Arabidopsis thaliana: one gene and its partners. The protein of the gene in region 1 purifies or fractionates together with the protein of each later gene. This does not show direct contact. Each region holds a gene or a part of one and is shown on either strand. Other genes may lie near its edges. The genes, in order: U2A', AT5G20160 and AT4G22380.

The links.
Region 2: the proteins of U2A' (region 1) and AT5G20160 fractionate together in Arabidopsis thaliana (co-fractionation; one large-scale study listed by BioGRID). This does not show direct contact.
Region 3: the proteins of U2A' (region 1) and AT4G22380 fractionate together in Arabidopsis thaliana (co-fractionation; one large-scale study listed by BioGRID). This does not show direct contact.

Annotation. Positions count from the first base shown.
Region 1 is NC_003070.9:3,159,957-3,163,708, forward strand, and holds the start of U2A' (U2 small nuclear ribonucleoprotein A), read right to left. Parts: upstream 1,737-3,752; 5' UTR 1,648-1,736; coding exon 1,566-1,647; intron 1,466-1,565; coding exon 1,425-1,465; intron 1,062-1,424; coding exon 932-1,061; intron 832-931; coding exon 626-831; intron 126-625; coding exon 1-125. Other genes in the region: CDC5 (cell division cycle 5), read left to right, coding at 2,046-2,222, 2,488-3,752. UniProt on the Arabidopsis thaliana protein: This protein is associated with sn-RNP U2. It helps the A' protein to bind stem loop IV of U2 snRNA.
Region 2 is NC_003076.8:6,803,187-6,806,938, forward strand, and holds AT5G20160 (Ribosomal protein L7Ae/L30e/S12e/Gadd45 family protein), read right to left. Parts: upstream 2,010-3,752; 5' UTR 1,917-2,009; coding exon 1,914-1,916; intron 1,794-1,913; coding exon 1,473-1,793; coding exon of another isoform or gene 1,467-1,472; exon of another isoform or gene 1,147-1,466; coding exon 1,015-1,146; intron 916-1,014; coding exon 889-915; 3' UTR 596-888; downstream 1-595. Other genes in the region: SPX1 (SPX domain-containing protein 1), read left to right, coding at 1-181; AT5G20165 (kish-A-like protein), read right to left, coding at 2,776-2,837, 3,031-3,065, 3,180-3,248, 3,346-3,452, 3,542-3,544.
Region 3 is NC_003075.7:11,811,202-11,814,953, forward strand, and holds AT4G22380 (Ribosomal protein L7Ae/L30e/S12e/Gadd45 family protein), read right to left. Parts: upstream 1,800-3,752; 5' UTR 1,722-1,799; coding exon 1,494-1,721; intron 999-1,493; coding exon 840-998; 3' UTR 530-839; downstream 1-529. Other genes in the region: AT4G22370 (uncharacterized protein), read right to left, coding at 1-362; AT4G22390 (F-box associated ubiquitination effector family protein), read right to left, coding at 2,556-2,595, 2,705-3,752.

The DNA of each region.
Region 1 (3,752 bases):
ACCACTTTCGGAGTCTCTGGATTTTCTGCAGTTTCTGACACTTTTTTAACCTCCTCCCGAGAAACCTTTTTAACTTCCTCTTCTGCTTCTTTGGATGAAAACAAAGATGCAGCTTCAGCTCTCTCCTGTTAGGAACCAATAATGTCAGGTAAAAGGTCTTGCTATAACCATTGTAAAATTTAGATATACAACAGTGGGCTAAAGGATAAAGCCAAACTATTATCCGATCCAAGGCTACAAGGTTATAACACGAGGAAATTAAATAAAAACACCACACCCTACATCAAGTCTGGTTTATATTTATGCCCTAAATACAAAAAACTTTAAGATAATCAGGCAACCAAGTCATCAAGACCCAAACTATATATACTTTAAGCAAACCCTTTTAGCTAAATGTTGTTAATATTAGTGAAATTTCTTATTTCAGCATACAGATATAACTGTGCACAAGAATCTTAAACAACGTAAGACAAAAGGCAGACCAATTTCTTGCTCTCAGATATTCTATTTTTCAGATGATATTAAGGTTAGCTCCCGGTGACTTGTAGCATATAAAATAACATTAAGTTGGCATCTAGGGTAAGCAAAAATGAACAGTTGATAAAGCATATGATAAGGTCCTTACCTTGGCTTTGATTTTAATGAAATCCAGTACTCGAAGTGATTTTAGCTTGTGAATCACATAAAGGCGATAATTTGCCTTTTTGGTGATATTATTATCCAACAAACTAAGGTACTGCAGCTTGGGAATGGAGGCAAGGGGATCAATCTCAACCAAATTCACAAGCCTGTTATTTGTAAGAACCAAAGAGTGAAGCTTCGGTAGGAATTCTGCAGATGTACAACCATACGATAAATACAACACAGGTAACCAACAAAGCAAACAATGTGTTTGAATTGACATTTCTTACAACACACAGATAGATGTTACCTCCAAGGTTAGGATTTATCCGGGTGATACGATTGTTATTGATGAGTAAAGTTCCTAAACGGTTGAGGTATGGGAAGTTTTCTAGCTTAACTATCTCGTTATCAGACAGATCAATGGTATCGAACTGGTCCTGTAAGCAAACCAAGACAAGTTAATTAGAGAACCTCAAACCTGCAAATAATCTACCTAAGCCAAACACAAAATTTATGGGAGGCCTTTCTTAGAGAAGACTGGCTCTCAAAAGTAAAGAATCCACAGTAAGAAAAAGGTACTATTACACGAAGCCACATATACTCCTAAAGAGCTAGAAAACAGATACTAACTAAGACAAAGGAGCAATAGCTACTTCAACAATGTTTCTGTCAATGATTTTCAAAATACTTGAATGCCGAAACCCAACAGGCAGACTTAAGAACATACAATACAACCGCATCAACAAATTCTTCAGCTAACAGACAAAGAGGAAACGAAAATCGATAGAAAAAAGAAATACCTCAGTAGCACCCAAGTTTTCGATTACAGGAATCTTGTTACCTGCAACAAATTAACCCAGAAAAACGAACGATTAACCAGAGCAGGTGCGTTTAGGGTTACAAAACCCTAGAAAATGTAATGGGAAAGAGAAGAAGTGTACCTCGTAGATCCAATTCTCGCTCCTTGATAGCATTGAAGAAGTGAGGACTTTTCCAGATCAAATCAGCCGTGAGCTTCACCATTATTCTACTAGGGTTTTACTGCTTCGTCGAGCTCTGTCGCTGCTAAGCATTCAGAGGAAAGAGACAACAACAGTGGCTAGAGATGACATAAAAACGCAGCAAAATGACCTTTGCTATTAATTTATCACTTAAATAAACGGCCCATTGAATTGGCCCAGTCGGTTAGGCCCATAAGTGTATCCCGATATTTATGATTTTGGAAATTAAAAAGAAAAAACAAATAAAAAGAAAAGGACTAGTGAACGATTGAATCTTTTCTTCTTCGTTGGTTCCAACCCTAATCTAGGGTTACTCTCTCTCTCGCTTCCTTCTGTTCTTCGTTCTTACCGAGTTCCACGAGCATTAGCTTCAGAGACCTTGAATTGGAGTGCGGTTGGATCAAAAACAGTTGAGCGAAGATGAGGATTATGATTAAGGGAGGTGTTTGGAAGAACACCGAAGATGAGATTCTCAAAGCCGCCGTGATGAAGTATGGTAAGAACCAATGGGCTCGGATCTCGTCTCTTCTCGTTCGTAAGTCTGCTAAACAGTGTAAAGCTCGCTGGTACGAGTGGCTCGATCCATCTATCAAAAAGGTAAGTCGTGTTCGCGTTTTCCTTCTCTTAACTAGTAGTGTTCGAAAAAAAACTATGGATCTGGCGAACATTTTTTTGTTTGGGGATTTGGCCTTTTAGGTAGTTTGTTAGCTTGTTACTAGGTGCTTTAGTTGTATATATGTATTGATTTGCATCTGGAAATTCATAGAAAGTGTAGGCAGTAATGCTAGGAGTTTTGGAGTATTCGAAGGTTTTCTTATGTTTTTGAATTACAACTGAGTTTAATTTTGTGATGTTAATGTAGACTGAATGGACCAGAGAAGAAGATGAGAAGCTTCTACATCTTGCTAAACTTCTGCCTACTCAATGGAGAACTATTGCTCCTATTGTGGGTCGTACACCATCTCAATGTCTTGAGAGGTATGAGAAGCTCCTTGATGCAGCATGCACTAAGGATGAAAATTATGATGCAGCGGATGATCCACGAAAATTACGTCCTGGTGAGATTGATCCGAACCCAGAAGCAAAGCCTGCTCGTCCTGATCCGGTAGACATGGACGAAGATGAGAAAGAAATGCTTTCTGAAGCAAGAGCTAGATTGGCTAACACGAGGGGAAAGAAGGCTAAAAGAAAAGCTAGAGAAAAACAACTTGAGGAAGCTAGAAGGCTTGCTTCTCTGCAAAAAAGAAGAGAACTAAAAGCAGCTGGGATTGATGGAAGGCATAGGAAAAGAAAGAGAAAGGGAATCGACTATAATGCAGAAATTCCTTTTGAAAAGAGGGCACCTGCGGGATTTTATGATACTGCGGATGAAGATCGTCCTGCTGATCAAGTAAAATTTCCAACTACCATTGAAGAACTTGAAGGAAAAAGAAGAGCTGATGTAGAAGCACATTTACGCAAACAAGATGTTGCAAGGAATAAAATTGCTCAGAGACAGGATGCTCCAGCAGCTATATTGCAAGCAAACAAGCTGAATGATCCGGAAGTTGTTAGGAAGAGGTCAAAGCTGATGTTACCACCACCGCAGATTTCAGACCACGAGCTAGAAGAAATTGCTAAGATGGGCTATGCCAGTGACCTTCTTGCCGAGAATGAGGAGCTAACAGAAGGCAGTGCTGCTACTCGTGCACTTTTGGCAAATTACTCACAAACACCAAGGCAAGGAATGACACCCATGAGGACACCTCAAAGAACTCCTGCTGGTAAAGGTGATGCTATTATGATGGAAGCAGAAAACCTGGCCAGATTAAGAGACTCTCAGACACCTTTGCTAGGAGGAGAAAATCCTGAGTTGCACCCTTCTGACTTCACTGGGGTCACTCCGAGAAAGAAGGAGATTCAAACGCCTAATCCAATGTTGACCCCTTCAATGACTCCTGGTGGTGCTGGTCTTACTCCAAGAATTGGCTTGACGCCATCAAGGGATGGGTCTTCTTTTTCTATGACACCCAAAGGGACTCCCTTCAGGGATGAACTTCACATTAACGAAGACATGGACATGCACGAAAGTGCAAAACTTGAGAGGCAGAGACGAGAGGAAGCTAGAAGGAGTTTACGCTCTGGTTT
Region 2 (3,752 bases), on another chromosome or scaffold:
ATCAGAGCATAAGTTCATGGAGAGTCTTCATATGAAGAGCACAATCGCTGCCTTGCGGGTTTTGAAGGAGATCAGGAGTGGAAGTTCTACTGTTAGTGTGTTTTCATTGCCGCCTCTACAGTTAAATGGCTTAGATGAGACATGGAAGAAGATTCCATTGTTGGAGCAAGAAGCCAAATAGAGAGTGAGACAGAGGCACACTCGCTCTATTCCACTTTTTTATACAATAGAAGAAGCTAACAGATTAAACAAGACATTATCATCAATGTACACAAAAAGGCAGAAGAAACTATAGGATCATGTTTCTGGATATCATCTTTGGTCGGTCATAAGTCCTTAGGTTACACAAAACTGCAATGTAACTTTGTTTCTGTGTTGGGTGTGTTGTAGTTGATGTAATATATACCACTTCAGATTAATTATTGATTTCTTCTTTTCCAAAGTCATATGCTAGATATTTCAAGTTCTCTACTACTACATATACAAGTTCATAATCCTCTTCAAGAAGAAATGATGACTGCAAATGATACTAGTGACTCGATCTCAATTCAAGGTAAGACTTTGCATAATGCAACAGACCAATTGATTTCGTATTCAATCTCAATTCAAGTCCTTCAATTTTTATTTCAATTTTTTTGTTCGTTTTGTGATAGATATCAAAACAAGTTCTTATAAATAACACAATGATTCGCTACAAACCAAAACCAGAAACCAACACAAATTCTTAAGAAACCAAGTTGCAGAAAAGTGAATTACGTTACAAACTTGAAGAGAAGATAGTAGAATAATGGACGGTTTTTGATTTGGTAGTTGCCTAAACAAAACTTCAGTCAAAGCCTTCCCATTCGCGGAGACCCATCATACCGAGCAATCAATTCAGAGAATGCCTTAGATCAGAAGCTTCTCAATAGCATCCTGAAGAAATGTAAAAAAAGAGTTAATGATTAACCAATTCTGTGGAATCAATGATGGTTCAAGGTTATAAAGAGAGTACACAAGTGAGGGCTAAGTTACCTTGAGATGTTGAATCTGTGATTTCAATTGACTAGCTTCGTTAGATGTGACTGAACAAGCGATAACAGGTCTAGTCACACCACAGGCTCTTCCCAAGGCTTGCTTTGAAGGCACAAAGACATAAGGAACATTCTACAAAACATTCACAAAGAAAGTAAGAATATAGAAAACTAGTATATAAGAACAACAAAGCATTACAGAATCAAAAACATACAAGCTAAACAAAATCATAAAAGACAATCATAAAGCTGTCATTTTAAACTCCAACAAGTATGAAATCAGAGTTTAGTTAACAAAATGATATACAAAACTTGGCTGAACATTGGCACAAACTAATCAAACTATATCCTCAGCAAGTAAACTTAATTCTCTTCTATGAACTAAGGAAACAAATATCTCATTTGCTAAATAAACTGGTGTATAATAAAAGAGAAACCCAGAGAAAGAAGAAGTCAAACCTTATCCTCAGCAAGTAGGGGAAGATGAAGAAGAATCTCTAGAGGCTCAGCATCTGCAGCCATGACAACAAACTCGGAGATTCCACGATTAAGAGTCTTCGTAGCTGAAATGAACAAATTTAAATAAATCAGGAACAACTTCACAAACATTAAACTCAATAAATAAGAGAGACAAACACACATGAGTAACAAGCGGATACCTTCATTAGCACCCTTCTTGAGCTGCTTGTAGTTAGTAGCTTGTTGAACGAGGTCAAGAATTGTTATCGATAACTGAGAATCTGCAAGCGGATACGCTTTAGGGTTGACGACTTCTCCGGTCTGCAAGAAGAAACGAAAACAAAAACAAATTAAAACCCAAATCAGACAATCAAAGAGTAAGATTCCTTCGAAAACACTGCAAGATAATACCGAAAAGAAGAAAGAGGAAGAGAGAAGTACCATTTTCAGCTGCGATGTCTAGGGTTTCAGAGAGGATTAGGGTTTTAGAGGCTACGACTTTCTCAGCTTGAATATTCTGAATGATAACTTAGGCTTACGCTGTTACTTATATGCTTGTCGATTTTATACATCTTTTTAATGGGCCTGGGTGATGATATACTTCGGCCCATGTGAACTAACCTTAACCGACAGAACTAGTTTTGACTTTGGGAGTTTGGTTTTTTAGTTTCTTCTTTTGTCGGCGAAATTTTGATTAAAGCCCAAAAGGGTAACCATGACTTCACCTTTGTTCTTTTTGCTCGCATAAAACTGATCGATTATCCAAATTGACTGATAATTTTACAGCTACCACACACACAACAAACTTTTATTAACTGATGCTCTCATTAGTTCAATGAAATTAGTAAACTTGAAGTTACGTATGTGATTACTCTCTTCCTTTACGACAAAGATGCGTTTTATTAGCTGGTTCTGGTGTCTTATGCTCTACTAATTTCTATGGTTGAGCTTTATGGACTTGTCTCCACATTAAAATAACAGACACAATTTGTTCCAAATACAAGACCATATCCATAATCCAAAGAGGATAATATTCTACTCTTTCAGTTTCATCAACAACCCCTTGGAATCTTTTGCATACAGAAAAATGAGCATCCCAAAGAAGTAAAAATCTACAAGAACTGGATATGTAAGAAGTTGACACTCAAAAGAAAATGATCGACACACCCATCATGAAGCATCCAGCGGAGACCCAAGGGCTCAAACGCTCACCTGGTACAAGTGATGACAAAGCAAAGTTAAGCAACAGAATGTTCGGCGATGGAAAACAAATGGCAGTAAAAGTAGGAGGATATAGACTTAACTATATGCCATCATGCATATGCTTAAATAGGAGATCGACCATGGGTTTTAAAGCATTAGAATCTGGTATTCATGAGTTGAATTTATAGTACAATTGTTAGTAGCTGCATTGATTAGTAACGAGTTCTTGCTCCTAGAAAGCCTATCACTACTTTCTATAGAACACATGCAAAGAAATATTGTTCAACACAATGTTTTTAGAAAGGTTTTGAAATCACAAGAGATAACTGAGCTCCAAAGGGGTGAAAAGGCCTACCTATTCTAGCAGCCTTCCAGAAAAATCCTCGAAACCTGCAATAGTAATTAATCAAGCAATTTCTATCATTAATATGCATAGAACAAAGTGATGACTGAGGGCATTAGATGCAAGCTATAAATACAAAAAAAGCACTAGGATGAAGTAACATTTGCAATCTAAAGTAACAATATGCAGAGAAATCTGACAAAGCATCTTTAATTTGGCAAAAGACAATGCTTGAAAACAATAACCGGTGTCAAAGCTCCAAATGTGTTAGTGTTATCGGTTTTGAGAATAAAATTCACGAAAAAGGAGAACAAAGAAGGTACAAACCCAGTTTTCTGCTCTAAAATGGCAGGGAACTGCATCTTCAGATATGTGCATGTGCAGATCACAAGCAGCACCACCGTCAGAAACGAATGGAAATTGAACAAAGCTGACTGAATTTATCAAAGATAAACAAAACTCTTAGCTCAAAATCACTGAAATTAACAAAATTTAACAATGGAACAGAGAAGGCAATAACTACCATTGTATCGGATCACTGAAGCACTTGAGAAGCTAATAATTGTTTCCTTGAATCTGAAATAACCAGAAGAAAAAAAACAATAATGGGAATCACATGAGAATCGATTCGAAGACACAGACATGCCCAAGAAGAATCATAACTAAACACATGAAAAACTGAGCAAGTACAATTATCGTCAAAACCTAACAATTTATCACTACCGAGATTTGTA
Region 3 (3,752 bases), on another chromosome or scaffold:
TAGTCTTTCTCCATGATGTTTCGGTCCTTGATATCAGTGTATAGTTTTAGAATTGTCTCCTTCGCTCGATAGTCTTCCTTCTTATCGTCATTCTCTTCATCTTCGCTCTCTTCCTGATCTGATTTCTCTTCATCTATGCTCTCTTCCCAATCTGATTCCGATTTTCTTACCCTTGTGTAATGCTTCAAAGTGCTTCGATGTGAGTGTGATAGATCCAGATGAAAACTCGTATTGGTAGAACCCTTTCGAATTGACACGCGAGAATTCTTCGTGTAAATTGAGCATGAGCTAAAGCTATTTATCCCTGAACATAGTTTAGATGAAAACATTGTTTGCGTAATTGACATATATGAGGATGCCATTGCTTGTAAAATGGAGGATGGTTTTGCTGACTACATAAGATTGCAATACTTTATAAAAAGCTTTGTGAAGAACATAGATTTTCATTTGTATAAGTGAAGTCTGGAACAAACGAATAAAAGAATGTGTTTGTTTGTGGACAAAGCAAAGCGATGAAAAATGTAGCAAGTGTTGGAAGATAAGAATAATTTTCGATTTTTTCGTAATGGGACTTAAGGATAGATCGTTAGTGTAATAAATAGACAGTTAAAGAACCATGACGGCTCTTTACCTGTTATGTCTCAATACAAACCAAGCAGTGCTTGGCAAGCACCAAAATAAAAATCTAAGAAACTCAATTGTACAAATGAGCGATGATGATCCACATACTAAGCATTAACACCAGTCACAATACATTCTTCAAATAGGTAAATCACACAAACTAACTTCAGTCAGAGCCATTCCACATTGCAGAGACTCTTCATACTGAGCAGAAATCCTTAGATCAGGAGCTTCTCAATTGCATCCTTGAGATGCTGAATCTGCGATTTCAACTGGCTTGCCTCATTCGATGTCACTGAACAAGCAATAACAGGTCTTGTTACTCCACATGCTCTTCCCAATGCTTGTTTCGAAGGTACAAACACATATGGCACATTCTGCATTTAGATGGAGAGTACAAAAAAGCGTTAGTTCAAAATCAGACCACGTAATAATTGCTTGTATAGTAATGAAGCTTGTTCAAATAGGATAAACTATAGCTATGATGAATCATGTCTTCCTCAAGAGTGAACTCAAAGCTACAATTTTTAAACATAAACTAGGAGAAACTATAGCTATGATGAATCATGTCTTCCTCAAGAGTAAATTTGAAGCATACACCAATAATTACATAGATACAATGATTCAATTGAAGACCAAAACAGAGTAAACAGAGAAAGTTTCCTGAAAGAACTCAACAGAGAAAAGTATGTTCAACACAAAATTGCATAAAGCTAAGAATGGCTTCTTAAGCTTCTAACAACCACCAAAATCTGAGAAACACTAACCTAACGATACACAGCCTCAAAAATTGCAACCTAATAGCTCTCTATTCTACACGAGTTGAATTAAAATTGCAACCAAATCATCGAGAGAGAGAAAGAGATGGTAACCTTATCTTCGGCAAGCAAAGGAAGATGAAGAAGAATCTCAAGTGGTTCAGCATCAGCAGCCATAACAACGAACTCAGAGATTCCACGGTTCAATGTTTTGGTAGCTTCATTAGCTCCCTTCTTAAGCTGCTTGTAGTTAGTAGCTTGTTGAACAAGATCCATTATTGTTATCGAAAGCTGAGAATCTGCTAACGGATACGCCTTAGGGTTCACTACCTCTCCCGTCATCTTCTTCGTTCTCAATAAGCTCACAGAAAGAAATTAGGGTTTTTGAAGGATTTGAGAATGTTTACAAATCTGTCCTTAACCCAAAAAAAGAAGAAGGTATATATATAGAAACATGACTCGGGTCGGGTTTTCGGGTTTCGCTTCGGATTGGTGAATCTGGGACCAAACCGACCTTTGATGTCGGTTATTTCTGTCTTATTTCAATTATTTCGGTTTAGTTCGGTTTATGTTTGTCCAATTTGGACTATTTGACATCTCTTTTAAATAAACGATGTTGTGTTTAGGTTTAGCTATAGACGATTTACGTTCATAACATTGCGTTCTCTAAACTCTAGTAGATCCTCTTCATCAACAATATTTGCGACTAGATTTACTTTTGATTGAGATTGATAGTTTCAAGTCATATCAAATTGCAAAAGACCATACTGATAAGAGTTTTACATATAAATTTCAGTCGATTACATATAGAAGAACACTATCTTATTATTTCCTTACGACATCATACTACGTACATAGGGTTAAGCTTATTAGTACTAAGATCTCACATGGGTTTAGGATTTTGCCATATCCTTTCCCCCTGCCACTGCTACTGTTACTGTACCTGAAATCAAACACAGATCAAGATTTTCTTCTACATGTTTCAAACTCAAAAACACTTGAAATAGTCAGATTTTAGATAAAGCTCCTAAGCTTGTTTATGTTAAACTATGATAAGATTGGAAATCTCACATCGAAAGAAAAGAAGATGCCAACTTAAGGAAATACTCAAGATCTTTAGATCCATTTCACTTACCTTAATCTAATGTTTGGGCTCAGAAGTTTCCCTTGCTTTGCTCATAGCTTCAGCTTGAATCCCTTGGACAGAAAACCATCCCTGAGAATGTAACACAAGATGTTTAAGCATGTTGATACGGTTAAACCCTTTCTACAATTCTTCATGGAAACAAACTGCGTAAGAAAACACTAACTAGAGAAGGGCATACCACCTTTTAGTACTCTTTGGCATCATCTTCTGATCTTTACTGCGCTGAGCTTGAGTAGGATCTCCTTTACATCCCAAAACAAGGCTACTCACGAGGATGTCTGCGGTAAATGAACTATCACACTCTATTCCGGCAGTTGTAAGACTCTGACTTTCCAAATCAAACCACATGAGATTCGCCGCATTGTTAATCTCCAGCAAAATCTTGCTCCTGTCCTTGGAACAGATCAGAGGTCTAATGAACTCAACCGATTCAACACTCTCTGGTTTCGGCACCCTATACAGCTTAGTCCAAGATTTATAATCCTCATACTCTTTCAAAACCCAAACATCAACATGGCTATACTCGTCGTAACACATCAAACAAACGCAGCCATCTAACACACCAATATCCATGTTATCTTCAATGTAAAGCTCCTGTGGGAAACTGAGGACTCCAATGTCATCAGAGGCAAGATCATATTTGATTATCGCGTTAAAGGCAATGACTCCCTGCCTTCGAGGCAAAATCCAGTGAAGATGGTTGTTAACAACCACACCATAGCCACGACGAGGCAAGAGATGGTAATAGTACGAAATCCAAAGAATCTGAAACTCGAACATAAGACACACTCTCTTCCACGAATTCTTCTTCAAGCTGAAAACTTTGACTTCAACAGGGCAAGGAAATTTCTTTTTACCTTCTTTAAGCTTACACTGAACAATCCTCACAACTTTAAAGTCATCGCCCACAGAATCATAACCCAAACCGTAAAACACATACTCACGAGTGATGTCACGTTCTGGGAAATCAATTGGCTCAATTGGTAAACGGTGAATCTTCCTAGTCGAAGGATTAAAGATCGCTAGATCAACAGGAGAGTTACATAACCCTATGACACCGTTAAATGAACCAAAAACCTCTGTAAAACCTCCGGCTTGTAAAGGATGAGGGATGTCGGAGACGTTCTCAGGCGAGTCTAGCTCCACCGTGCGTAGAAGACGAGGTCCTCGGAGTAAGATCATGAGATGTTCTCCCGTTTCGAGTCTGCGACGGAGATGAGATGAGA